3 linked regions of the Arabidopsis thaliana genome follow. The protein of the gene in region 2 interacts with the protein of the main gene of each other region in a pairwise test. Each region holds a gene or a part of one and is shown on either strand. Other genes may lie near its edges.

Region 1 (6,447 bases), 7.0 Mb from region 2:
CTTGTTGCTGGTTATTGTAAGGTTGGTGCTTTGAATATCATGTCAGAGACTGGTGATTTATGTGTAGAACTTCCCAAAGATGATCCCTTTTATCACCACAAAAAGGTTCAATTTCCTAATTTCTCTGCTCTTCTGTTATCTCAATACTCAAAGCCATTAGCTTTTTTTTTGCCTTATAGTCTAAAGATCAGATTTTTCATGTGCCAAAGTCTTAAAATATTACACTGTTTAGTTTTTCTCATGTTTTGTTTGAGTTTTTATGAAAATGAATTTTCTTATGATTTTGTGTCTGTAGAAGTTCTTGAGTTGCAAAGGTTTATGCGTAAAGGAAACATTGAACCTCAGTGGATCATTATCTCAACAACTGTTGAATGCTGCATTGGAAAAGTTGCTTCATTTTGGACGAATAGTTAATCTCGATAAGGTAAGCAAACATCGTAGGCCATTGTAATGCATGTGAAGTTGCTTAGATGATGGATTGAGTGAAATGCAGGTGGAAGTTTACTTTGGTGAGGATGCTTGCACTCCTGCAGGAATTTACAGTGTTAGAAACGAAATCTCAGCTCTCAGCTGGATCCTTTCGCTTATACCGGTTTCTTGTAAGATGCAAACACAAGTTGATACCTTTGAAGCTCTACGAGCTGCTTTAAAAGGTAGAATCAATGAGGTTGTTGGAGCTGAAAAGGAGAAAGCTAGAGTTGTTGATAGCTATAGATGCGAAAAGGAAAGCAAATTAGTAGAATGGGGTCAGGACAATGGAGTCAAAACCAAATTGCAGATAGCTCGTAAGCTTAACGGTTTTTTTCTGTTATGAAGTTATCAACAGAGATTTAAGTTTATGACAATGTGTTTTATAAATTTGGATAGAAATTGATGGCTATGGACGAGGAGCTATAGCTAGCGAAGACTTGAAATTTGGCGATGTTGCTTTAGAGATTCCAGTCTCAAGTATCATTTCGGAGGAGTATGTGTACAACTCCGACATGGTATATCATTTGAGTTCATCCTGATTTAAAGATTGCGTCAGTTTCATCATAGCAATGCTATATGATGAGTGTTCTCTTGTCTTCAGTACCCAATATTGGAGACGTTTGATGGCATTACATCTGAGACAATGCTGCTCTTATGGACCATGAGGGAAAAGCATAACCTGGACTCGAAATTCAAACCATACTTTGACTCTCTGCAAGAGAATTTTTGTACCGGTAAAATTGTTTGGAGAACTAAATATTCAATTCTTGTAGCAGTGTTTGTTTCAAAGAGACAACAAACATTGATTCTCTCATTGCAGGTTTGAGTTTTGGGGTTGATGCAATCATGGAGCTTGATGGTACATTGCTTTTAGATGAAATAATGCAAGCTAAAGAGGTGTGACTTGATCCCATCTCTTATCTTTTGGTTCTGTGATTTGTATTATGTTCTTGATTCCATTGGCAATTGTTTGTATATCTGCAGCTTTTGCGTGAGAGGTATGATGAATTGATTCCTCTTTTATCGAACCACCGGGAAGTATTTCCACCGGAGCTCTATACATGGGAACATTACTTATGGGCTTGTGAGTTGTATTACTCAAATAGCATGCAAATCAAATTCCCAGATGGAAAGCTGAAGACTTGCTTGATTCCTGTCGCCGGTTTTCTCAACCATTCTGTATGTGTCTTCTCTCGTTCTGCCTCTGGTATACTAAGTAATTCCTATCACTATCCGGAATATGATAATTTGGCGGGTTTTGCAGATATACCCACACATAGTGAAATATGGAAAAGTAGACATTGAGACGAGTTCCTTGAAGTTCCCAGTCTCAAGGCCTTGCAACAAAGGGGAACAATGTTTTCTTAGCTACGGAAACTACTCTAGTTCGCATCTGTTAACATTTTACGGATTTCTACCAAAAGGGGATAACCCGTATGATGTCATTCCCTTAGGTAGTTTAACCTTACCTCATTCTGAGATCACTCAGGCTTACATGCTTTTTTTGCTTTAAGTTGTATCTCTTCCTTGCAGATTTTGATGTCATTGATGATGAAGACATCGAGACCGAGTTTTCTTGGACAACTCACATGTTACGCGGGACTTGGCTATCGAGTAATCACAACATCTTCCACTACGGCTTGCCTACTCCATTGTTGAACTACTTGCGCAAAGCTCATGGTCTTGTTCATCATTCTGAAACAGATGTATATATTCTTCATCACCTTCGTATAACTACATCTATATCTCTATGAATCTAACACTTAAGATATTTTTCTCATTTCTTGATTCTTTTAAGTTATGGAAGAACTTGGAAGTTGAGATAGGAGTACTTGAGAATCTCCAATCCACATTCGACGACATGATGCAAAATCTTGGCGATGCAGATTCTATCGACAGGTATCAGTAGTTGTCTTGTCATGATATACAAAAGCTGAAACAGAGTGACCAATTACTTAGTAATCCGTCTGGTTTTACACTTTTACAGAGAAAACGCGGATTGGGATGTTAAACTAGCGATGGAGTTCAAAGAGCGGCAGAGAAAGATTGTCTCATCCATTCTTGATTCATGTTCTGCAGGTATCAAACTAGTTCAAGAATCCATAACTAACCCACCGGTTTAGCTAAGGTAGAATGAGATGAGAACCTGATCTTGGATTCAGCTTATACTGTATTATGAAATGTATCTTCTTGACAAAGTTAAATTGTGTGAGTTAAAAGACTTTAGTTCAATTTTAGTTACATTTTAGTTACATTTTAGTTACATACTTCCTCTGTTTAATCTCATTAGACACCTCTTTTTTTCTTGCTTATATAATTGCTTCATATCCACGTAATCTCATTAGACACCTCTTTATATAATCTCATTAGAATTTATAAATTTATGTACTTACGTACGTACGTACGTGTGCGACTAACCCTAGACAAATTAACCGAATACTCTTTTTTTTGCAAATGCATCACGCATGGTACCCTAATAGTGGTGTCTCCATCATTTGTCATTACTTTCTGAATGCAAAATGAGTAATCAGATTCATTAACATTTGACTAATACTATATTTTCTCATATTTTTTGTGGGCATAGAGAATTATCAGTATTTTGAGCATATTATAAAAGTAATCTCAAATGGGAAACATAACAAATAATAAAAAAGAATGAAAAAGTTGATGTGGCTGCTGGTGGCAGCAAATTGGCGGACCCCATCTTCCAGGTTACATTCTTGTCGTTTTCCAGCTTCTTAACACAGAGCTATAATCTCATGCACCAAAGAGCATACTAATATCCTATGTCTCCGAGTAATAATCAGCCACGTTTCTATAATAGACACAAGTTGGTGTGACACTGACAAGAAAATAAATAAGATTTATAGAAAGTGGGAACAGAACACAAAAAAAAAGCTGAAACAAAGAGTTCGAGAAAAATTTCGATTCTCTTGCTCGTAAAAGCTTCTTTTGATTCTCTTTGACTCTGTTTTGTGGATAGCTCCTGAAGAAGAAGAAGATGATGGTAGTGAACAGCTTTGATCTATGGCAAAAAGATGTTTTCTTCTCTGCAGCTGAAGAGGTTCAAAAATCTACAGATATGTATGGTTTCTTGTTAGATTTTGATCTTGTAATCTCTTCTTTGAGCTTAGCTTTTGATCTTGCATAAATTAAGAGATTGAGATGTGTTTAATTTGCTATTGTTCTTTACTTGGATTTTAGAATGGAGTCTGCTTATAGATTGTGGATTAGAGAGAAGAAAGATGAGATTTGTAAGGAACTTCAAGCAGCTTTAGGTACAGCTAAATGGCAGGTACAATAATGTTTCTTGAAACATTTCTGGTTTAGTTGTGTTCTTGTTCTTGTCTAGTTCTTGAAAAGTTTTGAAACTGTGTTGAATCAGTTGGAGGAGTTTGAGAAGGCAGTGAGATTGAGTCATAAACGGTGTGGGGATAATGATTCTTCATCCACACGGCATAAACAGTTTGTTACCGCTATTGAAAACCAGATTCATCGCGTAGAAACTTCTCTGCAAGAAGCTTATAGTGAAAATGGGAAAAAGCCTCTCCGTTGGGTTGATCTTAATGAAGAAGAGCGTGATGACTTAGCAATGTTTCTCTCTGGATCTTCTCGAACTTCACAGAGTTTTAGTGGTGAGAGCAGCATCAAGTCGAGAGAGTCTACTAATAGTTCTCTAGTTGAAAACGTTATGGAAGTTTCAGCTAAAGTAACATTCAAGAAAGCTAAAGTTTATGGTGATGGCTCTGAGTGTGTCATAGACATTGAAGAAAGAGTGACACCTGGCCAAGCAGAGAAATCAGTTGGGCTGAGAAGAATATGGAGTTCACCAAATTTCAATTCTTTGAGAATTATAGTTCCTGGTGGTGATAATGAAGAAGAAAAGGAGACATTGGTGGCACAAATAGAAGCGACGCCTAAAGTTAAAGGAACTAAGTCTGTATTGTGGATGCAGAGACTTCCTGATCATAATCAGGTGAGTGTGTTGATATATAAGCTTTAGTCATGGTAGGAGGAAGTAACTTACTTGTTCAGTGTTTTTTTCAGCTCTTTGACAAGACCGGTTGCTTTCAAAATCCGATACGCTTACCGTTTAATCACCCGATCAAGTTTATTGTTTCCTTATTGCTAATGGTGTTTCTACTATGTGAGTCACTTCAGTTTTTTTTCTTAATGAATCAATACTTTGCTAAATATATAGATTTTGGTCTTGAGCTTGTTAATATTGCTAACGAGCATTGCTTTTTCCCCTGTTTAAACCGATGCAGTACCCTTCGTAGTGTATTTGTCTTGAGAATTTTACCACGGTTCGAAACTGTCAAGAAGCTGCTAAAGAGATCAGCTTTCGCGTCTAATGGTTAGGATTCATAATCCCACAAGAACAAACAGAGATTAAAAAGCTTTACATATGTTACTTTTAACTTGTTGCTTTGGTTCTTCAGGGAACGTATAGAAACATTGAAACGTGTAAGATTAAGTAAAGGGATTAGAGTTTATATTACGGCTTTGGCTACCGTTGATAAAGATGTAAATGCAATATTCGTTTCGTAGATGTTTGACAATACAATGCCATAAGAATCAAGATTTATGCCATGTTTTTATGAACAATTTCTTAACTACATTTCAAAAGAGTTTGCTCTCTAAACCAACAACTTGGAATCTTGGTACTTGGATTTTGTCCCTAACTTTATATTGGGCCTCTAACTTTATGACCAAAGAAGGTCCAAGTTTTGTTAGTACAAAAAAAAAACAGTTTACATACATCTCTCAGTCACCTCCATTGATTATGCAGTAGAATCTGCCTTGTACACTCACAAAAAAATATAATAAATTTTACTTTTTAAATAAAATAAACGTCTTTGTTATGATAAAATTTACATCTTTTCTATAGAATCCTTTCAATATTTTATATTTTAAAGACAGTAAATTTATATAAACTTATCATAAATAATTAGTATGATTTTATAATTTAAGAGATTATTATACCTAACTCAGAAATTGGATTTCAAATAATAATATACTCAAATAAACGTTTGTATGCTATATTATACAGTAAAACCTCTATAAATTAATAACGTTGGGACTACAAAATTTTATTAATTTAAAGAGGTATTAATTTATTGATAAATTAATATTTTATTAATTTATAGAGAGATTTTTCCAAATTTAGTAATTTTTTACAAATTTTTATAAGATTTCTTTCATTATAGAAAATATCTTTCTAAAACAAGTTACAAATAAAACATAATAATAATGTATAAAACATAATAACACCAAAAGTTTTAATACAGTAAAATATGAAAATTATAGTCAAACAAAGAACAAATATGAATTTAAGCAAAAAATTATTATAAATCTATTTTAAAGAATTTTTATACATAATATATATATATATATAATTGATACATTTATATAATTATTAACTTATGATATTGATGGGACCATATATTTACATAGAACTTTCAAAAAAATTATTATCTTATTGATTTATCGATTTGTGTCACTTTTTACATTAGTCCTAACTCGTGACTGGAAAAATTTATTAATTTTTTGAGGTTCTACTGTATATAATACTTAAACTGATTAATGAGATATATCCATTTAATAAATTTATAAATAAATTTAAATTAAAAATAAAATGGAATGATAAAGATTTTTTTTAACAGAGTTTTCTAGCACTTAATCTTCTTTGCTTCCCTTTATTTACCATAACCACAATTCTCATCTAATTGTCAAACCTTGATCTTCAACTCAAATTGAAGCTAAACCATGTTCTTAAACTTGACATGTGTTTTAAATAAATACCACTTTGTTAACACAGTTTTTAATCAACACTATATTCTGCCAGACTGCCATCATATCATTTTTGCAAGGAAATTTTCTCAATATGATTATCTACCTAAATGATACTATATTTTAACATATAAGGTTACGTTTTGATTCTGTAGTTTATGGAAGAATCCTTATAATATTATT
Region 2 (7,201 bases):
GGAGCCTTCTTGTTCACTCGCCAACTGTGGAAGACCCTCGTTTTCTTCTATCGTCTGTTTCACCAGCTTCTTCAGTTTCTCAAGGTGCTGGTTTGTATTACTTAGTAGAGCAATTTTGTCTCTTTATGTACACTCCAAGCTCAAGTAACATCTGTTCTTTTGCAGGATTGGATACTGAAAATGGTAATAGCCTTCATAGATATTGGGAAGAGCTTCCATGTGGCGTGTACAGTATTTCTTTTGGGGTTTCAGAATTATGTATTCATGGTGAAGTTACAAAACACGAATGGAGAAATACCATCTGGAAAGAATTGATTGAATGGGAAAGGAAATTAGTTGTACCTAGACCTGAAGATCTATCAACGTCATCGCTTAGTGGAGTTCAGGAAGACAAATCTGTGTCAACTTCTCTAGGTACTGCTTAAGAATCGTTTGATTCCTCCAGTCCTGTCCAAATCTCAACATGTCTGACAAGGTTTAGCTTTAGGATTTGCGCAGACAGTTTTGGTCGTGTTAAAGGAATCAGTGAGGCGGCGAACTTCACTTCATAGCATTTATCAGGTATGAGCTTAAACTTGTTTTTTCTCTGAAGCTATGTGTTTTCTTCTGAACACCTTCGTATTGGCATAAACAGGGAGATAAAGAAGCTGTCCCAGTAGCTGTTCTTTTCTCTGGTGGATTGGATTCGATGATTCTTGCTGCGCTGTTGCATCAGTGCCTTGATCCAAAATGTAACCATTCCCCCACACTGTTTCTGTCTCGGCCAACAATTCTGAAACTAATCAAAAGAAGTAATATCTATTTCTTCAGATGAAGTTGATCTCCTTAATGTCAGTTTTGATGGTCCTAATGCTCCTGATAGGATCTCCGCCAAGGCTGGAATAAAGGAACTCAAAAAGATTGCACCTTTTAGAAGGTTGAACTTCAAAAGCCTTTTATGAAAAATGCATATATCTGTTACTATCTATGTTGATACAAATGTTTTTGGAATTTTCAGGTGGAAACTTGTTGAGATTGATGCTGATCTGTCAAAACTAGGCTTTGAGACAAAACGTGTTATGTCACTCATAAATCCTGCAGACACTTACATGGTAAACCTCAAAGTCTTGAGCATTGTGATTACATTCCTCCGAACTTGATGTGAATTATTCAATCTTTTTTTGCTATGTTCTAGGACCTTAACATAGGAACAGCATTATGGTTAGCTGCTCGTGGTGATGGTTGGATTCACGAAGATAATGGAAATCCAAGTGTAGAGGAAAATAACCAGCGGGTCAAGTATAAGTCCGATGCTAGAATCCTGCTTGTTGGCGCTGGTGCTGATGAGCAATGTGCCGGTTACGGTAGGCACAGAACTAAATATCGAAATGGAAGGTATATGATTCATTTATGTATACATTTCTTATGGATGTAAACTAATGTTAACCTCATCGCACAAGTTTTATTCATTTTTCCAGTTGGGTTGCGTTGGATCAAGAAATGAAATTAGATATGCAGAGAATTTGGAAAAGAAATTTGGGTCGAGATGATCGATGCATTGCAGATAACGGTAAAGAGGTATATGTCATCACGCCACAACCACAAACTCAAAAAAAAAGTTTATTCTTTGTGCTTTGTTCTTAAATCTTAAACGTTACTTGTTCAGGGGCGATTCCCGTTCTTAGATGAAGATGTGATAAAGACTCTCCTTGACATTCCCTTGTGGGAAATCGCTGATCTTGAGCAACCAAGTGGAACGGGAGACAAGAAGATTCTTAGACAGGTGAGTAATTAAAAAGATACCATTTTTACTGTAAGAATGCCTCAAGAACATTCCAGAAACTTCATAAACCTGAATTGTTGCGTAAAATCTTGAAGGTTGCAAGCCTGCTTGGTGTACATGAAGTTGCAAAGATGCCTAAGAGAGCAATTCAGGTAAGAAGAAGAGAACTTTCTGAGAGAACTCAGTTTCAAACGAGTAAAGTTGAAATCTTTTTGTTGTGAGCTCTCTCTCTCTCACTGTTGCTTTGGACTTTGGTTGTGGTTTTAGTTTGGATCAAGAATCGCTCGTGAATCAAACCGGAAGAATTTTGGAAGTAACCGTGCCGCAAACCAGGCTTCTGCCGGGAGCGTGAGATTCCTAGCACCGTCACACTAATTCCCTCTGATTCATGTTAGATCAATCATTGTTATACATTGTATCCTATACAAAGAGACATTCTTTCAATGATCTCAAAACTGGTTTGAACACTGAACACAAATGGACTAATAAGAGGACATGTTAAGACTTAAACCACTTGGTTCGGTATTTTGCTCAATTTCAAGGGTAAAATTGGAAAAATCACAAGAAAAACAAAAGCCCTAACATTATTGTCTAAAATCAATTTTCTCCTCCGGTGGTGATCTCTGTGCTCCGGCGCATAAACCCCTGTAAAGCCAATAACTTGTTGTTCCCCAAAGTTTGGTTCTTCATGTTGGAAACCGAAAGCAGTGTCTGCGACAACATCGCCGGCAATGAGAAATGGCGAGCGGAAGCTGAAATTGGTGGCAACGAGAGAGCTCTGCAAGCGCTTCGAGAACTCATTATCTTCCCTTTTCGTTACCCTCTCGAAGCTCGAACTCTTGGTCTCAAAGTACATATATCCACACCTCTGTTGGACTCATAGCTTCTCTCTTTCGCTTAATTTGCTTAATTTGACTTATCATTGCAGTGGCCTAGAGGATTGCTTCTCTACGGTCCTCCTGGAACCGGCAAGGTAAAAACTCTGTTTCTGTTTGTTGGATTTTTCAAAAAACTTTGATCTTGCAGAAGCTAATTCGACCGCTCTTGTATTGAAATTTTGGTTTTTGTAGACAAGCTTGGTCCGTGCTGTTGTCCAGGAATGTGATGCACATTTGATTGTTTTAAGGTACTTTGTTATGTAGCTTCTGTATAGTTTATGCTTTGGAGTAATAGAGGCTAAAGCTAATTTATGATTTGTCTTTGTTTGTCAAATACTCTGTTTAGCCCTCATTCTGTACATCGAGCACATGCTGGAGAAAGCGAGAAAGTCTTAAGGGAAGCTTTCGCTGAGGCTTCTTCTCACGCTGTTTCAGACAAGCCTTCTGTGATTTTTATTGATGAAATCGATGTTCTTTGTCCTCGTCGTGATGCTAGGTATTGCTTCACCCCTAGTTTATAGTTGCTATCTTCAGAGAGATCTTTAAGAGATTGAGAATAATCTTGTTCTCTTTAAAATGCAGACGAGAACAAGATGTTCGTATTGCTTCTCAACTGTTTACACTTATGGACTCAAACAAGCCTTCATCATCTGCACCAAGAGTTGTTGTTGTAGCATCCACAAATAGGTTCTTGTCTACCTTAAGCATAATATAAGTTGATTATCAACATTGGTTTTGAATGCAATGATCCAATGGTTTTCCCCGATCTTGTCAAAAGGGTGGATGCGATTGACCCAGCGCTAAGAAGAGCGGGACGATTTGATGCTTTAGTTGAAGTGAGCACACCAAATGAGGAGGATCGTTTAAAAATCCTGCAGGTAATTATCGAGTTCTTAAATGGGATTTTCGTATATAGTAAGTTTGTTTGTGATCTTCATGTTTTCTATTTTTTTCAGCTGTACACAAAGAAAGTCAATTTAGATCCTAGTGTCGATCTTCAAGCCATTGCAATATCTTGCAACGGTTATGTTGGAGCAGATTTGGAAGCTTTATGTCGTGAAGCGACAATATCTGCAAGTAAAAGATCTTCAGATTCTCTTATTCTAACATCTCAAGACTTCAAGATTGCAAAATCTGTGGTTGGTCCAAGTATAAACAGAGGCATCACAGTTGAAATCCCTAAAGTGACATGGGACGATGTTGGTGGTCTTAAAGACTTAAAGGTCAATACTTTTTAAAAATATTCATTTTGCACTTTGTTGTCCTGTTTTCTCCATTGCGATTAATGGTTTTTTTTTCCTTGTGACAGAAAAAGCTCCAGCAAGCTGTTGAATGGCCAATCAAACATTCAGCTGCATTTGTAAAAATGGGCATATCGCCAATGCGTGGGATACTTCTACATGGTCCTCCAGGTTGCTCAAAGACAACTCTTGCTAAAGCCGCTGCAAATGCTGCTCAAGCCTCCTTCTTTTCCTTAAGGTATAGATTTTGATAGATCACATTTAACAAAATCCCCCTTTGGTTGTGAAACTTGTTTAAAGAAACTTATTTTTTCTTGTGTCTTTGTGTGGGTGTGCGATGCAGCTGTGCGGAGCTATTTTCTATGTATGTTGGAGAAGGTGAAGCATTATTGCGGAATACATTTCAAAGAGCTCGACTTGCTTCTCCAAGTATAATATTCTTTGATGAAGCTGATGTCGTTGCCTGTAAAAGGTTTGTCTCTATCTCTCCCAACTCTTGCTTCGTGTTATAGACTCTTCTTAACATGTTTATTTCCTTGGGTCTTCGTAGAGGTGATGAGAGCTCAAGCAATAGTTCTACAGTTGGAGAAAGGCTTCTATCTACACTGTTAACCGAAATGGACGGTCTTGAAGAAGCAAAGGTAAACAAAAGCTCATAGGCTTTTAAAGATTTTATCTTTGTTATTGGGTTGCAATGATATTGATCGGGTTTTGGTTTAAGGGAATCCTCGTCTTGGCTGCCACAAACCGCCCGTATGCAATTGATGCTGCTCTAATGCGACCTGGTCGATTTGATCTCGTAAGTCCTCATATTGGATCTTTTGATCACACGAGTTCTGAAATAGCAAACCTCATTGCTACCCTCTTCTTGATTTAGGTGCTATACGTGCCACCGCCTGATCTAGAAGCCCGGTTTGAAATACTGCAAGTGCATACACGCAACATGACACTAGGAGACGACGTTGATCTCAGAAAAATCGCTGAAGAAACCGATCTCTTCACAGGTGCCGAGCTCGAGGGTCTATGCAGAGAAAGCGGAACTGTCTCACTTAGAGAAAACATCGCAGCAACCGCTGTCTTCAATCGCCATTTCCAAACCGCAAAAAGCTCGCTTAAACCAGCGTTAACAATCGAAGAAGTCGAAACTTATTCATCATTCAGGAAGGCGGCGAAAAGATCTGATTCGAAACCGATTCCGATTAACAAAAAGAAGGCGACTTCCACCGTCTTCGGATTCTCATGGCAATTAGGTGTTTTGAGCTTATTGTTGCTTGCTACTGGAAACTATTACTTCAACCACACTAAACATGAATTACTAGTAGCTTCTGCTACATGAGACTTGAAACAGCTCAAAGTTAAAAAAAGTTGCTAATTTTGTTTTATTCATAAATACCAAAATATCTTTTGTTTCAAAGTTCAAATTTTTAAATAATAAAACGGCTAATGATTATTAGATTCGAACAATGACAAAGATTGGCCATTACACATGAATGGCCCACGAACCTCACCACCGTCGTGAAATTTCTTTAAGCACCAATAATTTCACTGGTTATCTCTTACTAATTAATTACTTTTTACGTGTTCTAATCCAAATCAACAATAATTATCTGATATTTCTTCATAAACCGGTTTTGGAATTTAGCTGAAAGATGTGAATTTTATTTTGTCTTATTAATCAAAAAATTTGAAATCGTTTTGATTTCAATTAAACCGGAACCCTGACACTAACAAAAACCGGTCTGAGCTTATAAATAGAGTGGCTCGCTGATGACTCAGTTAGTCAGCTCCGAGTCTGCGTTTTACTTCTTCTCCTTGAGTTTCTTCTTCTAGATCTGATCGCGAATCACCAAAAGGTTTGTTTCTTAACCCCTAAAATTCCTCCAGATCGCTTTGATTTCGTTTCTCTGATGTCTTAGACGAAGTTAGATCGTAGATTCCTATGTTTTGATTCCTCGATCATGCTTCGAATTATGGTGTTTTTATCCTCAATTTTTGGAGATTTGGTTTCTACGGATTTTGTAGATTCAGGAATTTAGAAATGGTGATTCGATTTCAATGGTTTTAGATCTGATTCAGTCTTCACTCTTGTTCCACTATTTTGAAAATTGGCTAAAAACTAGGTTTCGTCGTCTAATTCTCCCGACGTTCTTCGAGAAATGTGAACTTTGAGGTGAAGATTTTGCGTTAGCATATGTGGTTTTGTATAATTGACGTTGCTACTATTCTGATTGTGAATTTTAAGCAGCATTCACAATTGAATTGAGTCTTCACTTTGTTCAGCTCTGAATCTATCATCTCTGAATGTTGGCAAGTTATAGTTTCTTATTATATTTCGGTGTTTTGGTTTGTTGTGCTAGGTTTTATTTTATACAATGGGTCGTGGAAACAGCTGTGGTGGAGGTCAAAGCTCATTGGATTATCTCTTTGGTGGTGACGCTCCTGCTCCTAAGCCAGTTCCAGCTCCTCGTCCCGCTCCTACTGAGTCTAACAACGGACCTGCACCACCAGTAACAGCTGTGACTGCAACCGCACTCACGACTGCTACTACTTCTGTTGAGCCTGCAGAGCTTAACAAGCAGATTCCTGCTGGTATCAAAACTCCTGTTAACAACTATGCCAGAGCTGAAGGACAGAACACCGGCAACTTCCTCACTGTACGTTTTCGTGTCCGTTTTACTCGAATACCCGTGAATCGAAATGGTAATGATACTCACTCACTCTCTCCCTTTCTCTGTCTATCTCTGCAGGACCGTCCTTCGACCAAAGTTCACGCAGCTCCGGGAGGAGGATCATCCTTGGATTATCTCTTCACTGGTGGCAAGTAAAATAATTGCAAAGACCTTTATCTATCCATTGTCTTTGCTGCGTTATCTCACTATGAAACTGTTTGATGTGAGCCTTTAAATGATAAGAAGTCGGTTTCTTGTCTCAACTCTTATCTGTAATATTTTGCTGAAAAAATGTTTGAATCAAAAACTTCCCAACTTGTCTCTTATTAACCATCAAATGCGAGTACAACTTTTAATCCAATCCACTACACATTTATAAGAGATTTGGCATAACTAAGTGATTCGAAAACAGATTAAACTAGAACCGTCATTTAGGATGTTGAGGAGCAGGGATGATTCCCCATTTTCTACGAACTTGCTCCAAGTCTTCACTAAAGTGACGCTCATAGTACACACACATGAGGTCAGTGCATTGTCTTCCAGCACGAACAGCCCAAGGAAGGTAATGCTTCAAGAACATTGATCTTTGCTTCTCGTTGAACCTCACAGTACCTCCAATCACAGAGAGCATACACATCGGAAGATACATTT
Region 3 (6,586 bases), on a different chromosome or scaffold from region 2:
TATTTGATTAACAAATTTTAAAAATATTTGAGTTTTTGTTTTCCTTAACAAAGTTACCATGTGACTAATATATCTCTCCAATCTTAAGAGTTGGAGTTTGAAACTCTTCTTAACAGAAAAACTCTTTCATGAATGCGGTAAATCTGGAGCTACATGTATAGGTATGTGGAATGCATTTATATCAACCTTAGGCACAAATAGTGAATGCTTCAAAGCAATCCAAGTCTTTGAGAACATTCCTTCCACCTTGATCAAAACTCACTCAACATTTTGGAACGTGATGGTAACTTGTACACATGCTCGACAAACTGAGTATGGGCATTATCTTCTTGCAAGGATAGTCAAGACTCTATGGATAGAACCAACTATTGAAATAATGGGGACATATTTAGACGGCTTGGCTAGAGGAAAAGTGATTGATGAGGCATAACGAGTTGTCAAGACTTTGATTTTCAAGCCTAACTAGGAGATTGCTGTGAGTCTTTTATCAAAGTACAAAAGCCATTCAACACCCATTGAGTTTGCTAAACGTTTTGTGAGGTACCTTGAAGAGAAGAAAGTCACCTTCTACATTGCTGGAACGACTTATAAGGTACTAGACGAAGATGGGGTGGAGTGGAAATCTAATGTCAAGATTAAGAAACAGAAGAAAGGAAAATCCACAATCCACTCCCATTAGAGCAGTTCAAAGTACTATATATTGCTGCACAGCTAAATCATTCGTCAAAGGCATTTCTTAACCATGCTATTTGACCTGAGGTTACGAGAGTAAGGATATAATTGTATTGATTGTTTTGAAACAGTGAAATAAACATGAAAAAGTGCAGTGAAATAAACATGAAAAAGTGCATACTCCCACATATGTGCCCCATATGCTCTAACAAACTTGATAAGTGTCATACGTAGTGAGATACCCTTATATTTTTTTTAGCTTTTTATATACTATTGCTTACAAACCTTATTAATATAGTTAAATAATTAGGGTGGGCATCGGTTTGGATTAAGTAATGATTTTGGATAATGATTAAAAAATAATTTTGATTTTTTTTTCAACTTCAGAAAACTCAATCTTAACTTTTAAAAATGTTTATGTCTTTTCACAACTATAATATTTTATATCTATAAGTAAAAAACTTGTTAGAAAACTTATCTTACTTTGATAAAAGATTCATTTTGATTAATTATCTTTGTTATCCTGTAAATTCTCGGTTTTGACATTAATCACTCAATTCCGGTATTTTAATAAATTACAAAATGAGTTTTGTGCAGTGTTGAAGATATATTCTCAAATACAGTAATTGCTTTCAACCCTTGATTTCGAAATGCCTAAGCTTGAAATCCTAAGCTGTCCATACACCAAGACCTACATCTCCAGATCTCTATAACAGTCATAAAAAAACTTCTGCCTATACTTTATTTATTAGTTTTCATATTTCCATCCGTTTATTTGCAAGGCCCATTACTGCACTAGGCCCTACATTTTGTTAGAAGAGGCAAAGCTTATAAGCGACATTCTCAATTTCCAACTATTACCCTTCCGAACTCTTCACCTAACACACATTTTCTAGGGGTAAACGTGTCATATCGTATGCAGAAACGTGATCCCAGCATATCCGGTTCTTCTTTATCCTTTGTTGGAGGCAATATCTACGTAGACAGTTACCTCGTACACCTTCAGTAAAATGGACGGTTGAGATTCCTATTTCAGTAAATAGCTAATATCTACCGTCAGATTCTCACTGAACAGATTAAGCATACAACGTCAGCTGAAGTGTTTAGATGTTACCATACACCATCTGTAGAGAATCTCTGACCTTATCGCATAATTTTTTAATGTTTTGCAGAATTTTTGTAGGTTGCTTATTTGCTTTTTCTTTCATATTTTTTCGTTAATTGTTGTTGTTATCTTCAACGATAGCGTTGTGCTCTGGAGAAGTGTTTGATCGCAGAAAAGCTTCGTTCTTTGTAGTCTACAGGTTTGATCACTGAGTTCTTAACTTCTTTTTTGGTTTGATTGCGATCCTGTACTTTCGTTTAGATTACTTAAAGGTTGGGTCTTTAACATGATCGACTGATAGATTTGTGGGAATTTTGATAATCTGAGTTCCAGAGTTTGGGAATTGATGATTTGATTTGAGTGTTAAATTTGTTTTGATGGTTGTCTGATTGGTGTCACCTATTTGTTATGTGTGTGTAGGCGTGGAAGGAATGGCAAAAAGCTCGTTCAAGCAAGAGCATGACTTAGGTTTGGATTTGAGCTTTGTTCTTGCTTTACTGTTTGGTCCTCGAAATCAAAACCTTGTGCTTTGATCTAATGATCCTGTTTCCTAAATCTTCAGAGAAGAGAAGGGCAGAGGCTGCTAGGATTAGAGAGAAGTATCCTGATAGGATTCCGGTGAGACTTTCAGTGTCTCTCTTATACATTGATCGATCATACATTTCTAAAGTTATATGTGATTAGCATATTGTTTCCCTTTCTATGTTCGGATCAATCTTTTGTGTTTGACTGAGTTTATGCAGGTTAAGTTGTTGTGGTTTATGGCCCAGCAATATGGTAGTAATGAACTTATTGGGATATAATGAACTTATTGGGATAGCATCTGGTTTTAAATGGACACCCTACCCGACTAAAGGATGGTTATCAAGTTATTATTGTTTGATTAGCTTCATGCTTGTGATATATGTTTGCCACTGTTTCAACTACATGGAGTTGATTGAGTTATAGTGACTATAACAACATTAGGACTTTGAATTTAGTTGTCATTTTTTGGAACGTGACTTTCTGAAACTCGATTCTTACTGAGTACTTACGGCTTAGATAAGTAGATTTGCATGATTCATGTGGCTACGTGCTTTATGATTCACATGGTAAAAATGACACTTGAGATGATGATTTCCACGCATTTATATTTTTGTGGGATCCAGGTGATTGTTGAGAAGGCTGAGAAGAGTGATATACCAACCATCGACAAGAAAAAGTAAGCATATAAATGGCATCAGTATCCTTTTCATTCGGACCTGACTTGTTAATAATAGTGATTGATAACTAAGCTTTTTTCAAATTTGCAGGTACCTAGTCCCGGCTGATCTGACTGTGGGGCAGTTTGTGTATGTCATTCGCAAAAGAATCAAATTGAGTGCAGAAAAGGCTATCTTCATATTCGTGGACAATGTTCTTCCTCCAGCAGGTAAACAGATAGATCTCCTCTGTATTCAAGACTCAGGAGTTTCATTATCTTTTAACACAAGTAACAAGAGCATAAGAAGGCGTCTACTTATATGTTCCCCGGTGATTATAAATTCTTTATATTTGGCTGATCTGATCTGGTAACTTTGCAGGTGCGCTCATGTCTTCTGTGTACGAAGAGAAAAAGGATGATGATGGGTTCCTCTATGTCACTTACAGCGGAGAAAACACATTTGGATTTGGATCTCCATAATAGAGACCTCTTGCTGGATATTTCATTTTACTCCTCTCTATTTTCACCAAATATTTCATCTTCTTATTAATTACTAAGCAAGCAAGCCACCTATGTACTTATTCTCTAAGGACCTTTGGTCGGGCGTTAATATGTACAGAAAACATAAAATAATGTATATAATCTTCTTTCAAGGATCTAAAAACCTACTTTAGGTGAATCTATCACATCTCCCTCTTGACTTTGTTGTGTTTTTTTTGATGTCTTCAATCTATAAGCCGACATAACACGTCGCTTATGGCACATGGGCCATGACAGTTCCAAATTGCAAAGCCTAAGTGAAGAGAAGTTATATCACCAAACTCAATAGAAGTGCAAGCACAAGGGAACTGTGCCACGTGGCAGACATGGTCGGTACCGGTTGAAGGTTGGCCGGCGACGATCTTATAAAGGTCCCACATTGTCGTTGACGGAGAGAAGGAGGAGACGGTCGGACCATGCTGGCTTGTTTCTCATCTTACACTTTTCAATATTGATTTTTGTTTCATATATTTATTTGTTCACAGTTTTAGCTCGATTTATGATCGTCAAAGATTGTAATTCAAGGTTCCAACCGGTCACGTGGAACATGAGAGACGCGGTTGTGTTTTTGGGATTTTGGACCATTGAAGTGAAAGTTGAATGTAAAAGCTTTTCATAACTTGTGAGTGTTTTGTCCAAAGAAATCAATGTCAAATAGTGTAGTGATAAGAAGGTGATCGATTAGGACTTAAGAGAGTAAACACGTCGGTCATACAATAATGGCGTGGATGAAAAAGGTGAAGAACCGGAGAATAAGGTGAGCAAATGGAAGAAAGGAAAATGAGAATGCAGGAGATGATGACCCCACGAAGACTCTCAAGTAGACAAAAGGTTTGGCCGATCAAGACACCCATATACATACGATAGATATGTATGTTGAATGTAAAATATATTTGAATAATAGACAAGAGAGAAGATTAAAAAGAAATAAAAGAGAAGAGGAACAAGAGCATGTTATGATAATGAAGGACCCCTCCCCCCACCTGTATTTAATGCTTGTCTTACTCTCTTTACTCTCTTCTGCCTACAAATACTCTCCTTCCCTCTTCTCTTCTCTTACACCAATTAACAACATTTCAAACTTTCTTTGTCCTGCTCTAGTCTCATCTCCCTGTATACAGACACAGCATATATACACAAGTATCTCAAGAACAAGAAGAAGAATAAGAGAAGTCATGTCTTGCTCTTTGAGGAGTGGACTCGTGATAGTGTTCTGTTTCATTCTTCTGCTTTTGTCTTCCAATGTTGGATGTGCCTCTGCCGCTCGTCGTTTAAGGTCACATAAGCATCATCATCACAAGGTTGCTTCTTTGGACGTCTTCAATGGTGGAGAAAGGAGGCGGGCGTTGGGTGGAGTCGAGACAGGGGAAGAAGTAGTAGTCATGGATTATCCTCAGCCTCATCGTAAGCCTCCGATCCACAACGAGAAGTCTTAATTACCCGATCCATATATACCAGTCTCTCTAAATATATCATACTGTTATATGCATATGCATTCACCATGTTGGTGGTTGTAATGACTCTTGTGCTATCTCTATATATATTCATGACCAACTTCTTTGTTCTCTATTTCTCCTCGTATACAACAAACAAGGTGCTTCCTATTAATTACTCTGTTTCTTATGGGTATTGCATAAAAGATTTTCAACATTTGAGAAACAGAATTGTGAAAATTCTTCATTAAGCTTTGAATGTACAAGAGATCTTAAATACAGAAACTAAACCGAGCCTGAAGCTAAATCAACAATAACCAATCTAGAATAATCGACATGTAGACTCAAATAGATCTCTTTGCCGCCATTTTAGCTCCAAGTAGCACGTAACAAAAGTATCATTACAAAGAATACCAATGTGTATAAGAGATAAAAACCTTCATTGAAGCTAAAATCTTAAAGCTAAGCCTAACATTTCATAACAGGGTGATAAAAATAGTGTTATACATATTCCTGATTTCAACTGCAAGGAACAATGAATGGTTTCACAAATTCAAGGAATTCGGATGTTCTGACACCGAGCTTCAGATCGATTTCTCCACCACCCAACCAGAAGAAATCCGGTTTAAGTTTGGTTATAGCCTCATCCAATATAACCTGACATTTCCCAAAGCCCCCCCCATCCAACTCGTCAGTATCAATATATCGAAAGTTTATTTCAATTCAAAGCACGATTAGTCTGAATATGCCATGGAAACTCTAAACATGAATTAATACTAAACTCCATATCTCCACTATGAATGAATACTTCGAAATACCAAGTCAATCTGCACATATCCAATTGAGATCAAGTAATTCATCATGAGAGCATAAGCAACCTAACTAATTACCCTAAAGGGAAACTCATTTACTTAATTACTGAGGTCTAAAGATGATATTGAAAGACTCATGTGTCACAGTAGCACAAATAGTGTGTTGTCTGAAGTGGGCCAATTCCGGATAAGGAAAGGAAGATAAACACATCAATGCAGTAGGGTACGTGCCTAAGATTATATATACACAGACCAAAAATAACGCCATTTAAGTCTCTCTGACTGACACCAATTACTAACTCTCGCACTTGTAATGCAAAGAAGGTATTGAACTGTAAAAACGGAGGTTCTAATTTTTTACTATCAACGGGGAAAGTACTAAAGACAATGAGTGGGACAATCAGCAGCTGGCTCACACGGAAACTCTTAACTTCTGCTCTGTACCAATTCAAATTGTGTTATAATGCACCACACCCTCCTGTACAGACTAAGAGAAACAAAACAAGGCCAAACCTAGCTGTGTAACTCATTAGGCACTGGAACCTTCCGGGCCTCTAGGACAGGACAATAAACTATAGTGTCTGCAAAACGCTTGGCAAGAACATGTGTATGAAAGGGAAAACTCTCTGTAAATATTTCTCAATACAAAATACAACACGAAACTGTTTGTCTAGGAGAAGAAAACATAAGTGGGTAGAGGTTCCTCTCATACTACTCCTATGTCTAATATGTAATTAATAGTGTAGAGCAGCATTGAGCAAGCACGCCCAAAACATGTCAATAATGCATGATGTAGAAAAGTTGGCCAGCTTCAATCAAACAAAGATTTTTAAACCTATCA

The links.
Region 1: the proteins of CDC48B (region 2) and AT2G18860 interact in a two-hybrid assay, tested with the Arabidopsis thaliana proteins (one large-scale study listed by BioGRID).
Region 3: the proteins of CDC48B (region 2) and ATG8F interact in a two-hybrid assay, tested with the Arabidopsis thaliana proteins (one large-scale study listed by BioGRID).

The regions. Positions count from the first base shown.
Region 1 is NC_003071.7:8,160,886-8,167,332, forward strand, and holds AT2G18860 (Syntaxin/t-SNARE family protein), read left to right. Parts: upstream 1-3,056; 5' UTR 3,057-3,472; coding exon 3,473-3,555; intron 3,556-3,675; coding exon 3,676-3,766; intron 3,767-3,856; coding exon 3,857-4,447; coding exon of another isoform or gene 4,448-4,474; exon of another isoform or gene 4,475-4,518; coding exon 4,519-4,618; intron 4,619-4,739; coding exon 4,740-4,765; 3' UTR 4,766-5,121; downstream 5,122-6,447. Other genes in the region: AT2G18850 (SET domain-containing protein), read left to right, coding at 22-105, 296-424, 494-785, 868-986, 1,073-1,205, 1,292-1,368, 1,456-1,650, 1,736-1,925 and 3 more.
Region 2 is NC_003071.7:1,115,145-1,122,345, forward strand, and holds CDC48B (cell division cycle 48B), read left to right. Parts: upstream 1-2,340; 5' UTR 2,341-2,450; coding exon 2,451-2,612; intron 2,613-2,690; coding exon 2,691-2,735; intron 2,736-2,832; coding exon 2,833-2,888; intron 2,889-2,986; coding exon 2,987-3,136; intron 3,137-3,222; coding exon 3,223-3,327; intron 3,328-3,418; coding exon 3,419-3,518; intron 3,519-3,596; coding exon 3,597-3,863; intron 3,864-3,949; coding exon 3,950-4,119; intron 4,120-4,224; coding exon 4,225-4,353; intron 4,354-4,431; coding exon 4,432-4,522; coding exon of another isoform or gene 4,523-4,540; exon of another isoform or gene 4,541-4,602; coding exon 4,603-4,680; intron 4,681-4,758; coding exon 4,759-5,217; 3' UTR 5,218-5,314; downstream 5,315-7,201. Other genes in the region: AT2G03667 (Asparagine synthase family protein), read left to right, coding at 1-84, 166-414, 488-561, 635-731, 811-916, 998-1,091, 1,175-1,374, 1,458-1,557 and 3 more; SPR1 (spiral1), read left to right, coding at 6,254-6,535, 6,629-6,706; AT2G03690 (coenzyme Q biosynthesis Coq4 family protein / ubiquinone biosynthesis Coq4 family protein), read right to left, coding at 6,978-7,201. UniProt on the Arabidopsis thaliana protein: Probably functions in cell division and growth processes. Interacts with certain SNAREs as part of specialized membrane fusion events where vesicles from the same organelle fuse (homotypic fusion).
Region 3 is NC_003075.7:9,303,736-9,310,321, reverse strand, and holds ATG8F (Ubiquitin-like superfamily protein), read left to right. Parts: upstream 1-1,783; 5' UTR 1,784-1,976; exon of another isoform or gene 1,977-2,197; 5' UTR 2,198-2,208; coding exon 2,209-2,245; intron 2,246-2,339; coding exon 2,340-2,395; exon of another isoform or gene 2,396-2,832; coding exon of another isoform or gene 2,833-2,925; coding exon 2,926-2,978; intron 2,979-3,069; coding exon 3,070-3,188; intron 3,189-3,339; coding exon 3,340-3,440; 3' UTR 3,441-3,983; downstream 3,984-6,586. Other genes in the region: RGF6 (root meristem growth factor), read left to right, coding at 4,493-4,936; AT4G16510 (YbaK/aminoacyl-tRNA synthetase-associated domain-containing protein), read right to left, coding at 5,453-5,590. UniProt on the Arabidopsis thaliana protein: Ubiquitin-like modifier involved in autophagosomes formation. May mediate the delivery of the autophagosomes to the vacuole via the microtubule cytoskeleton.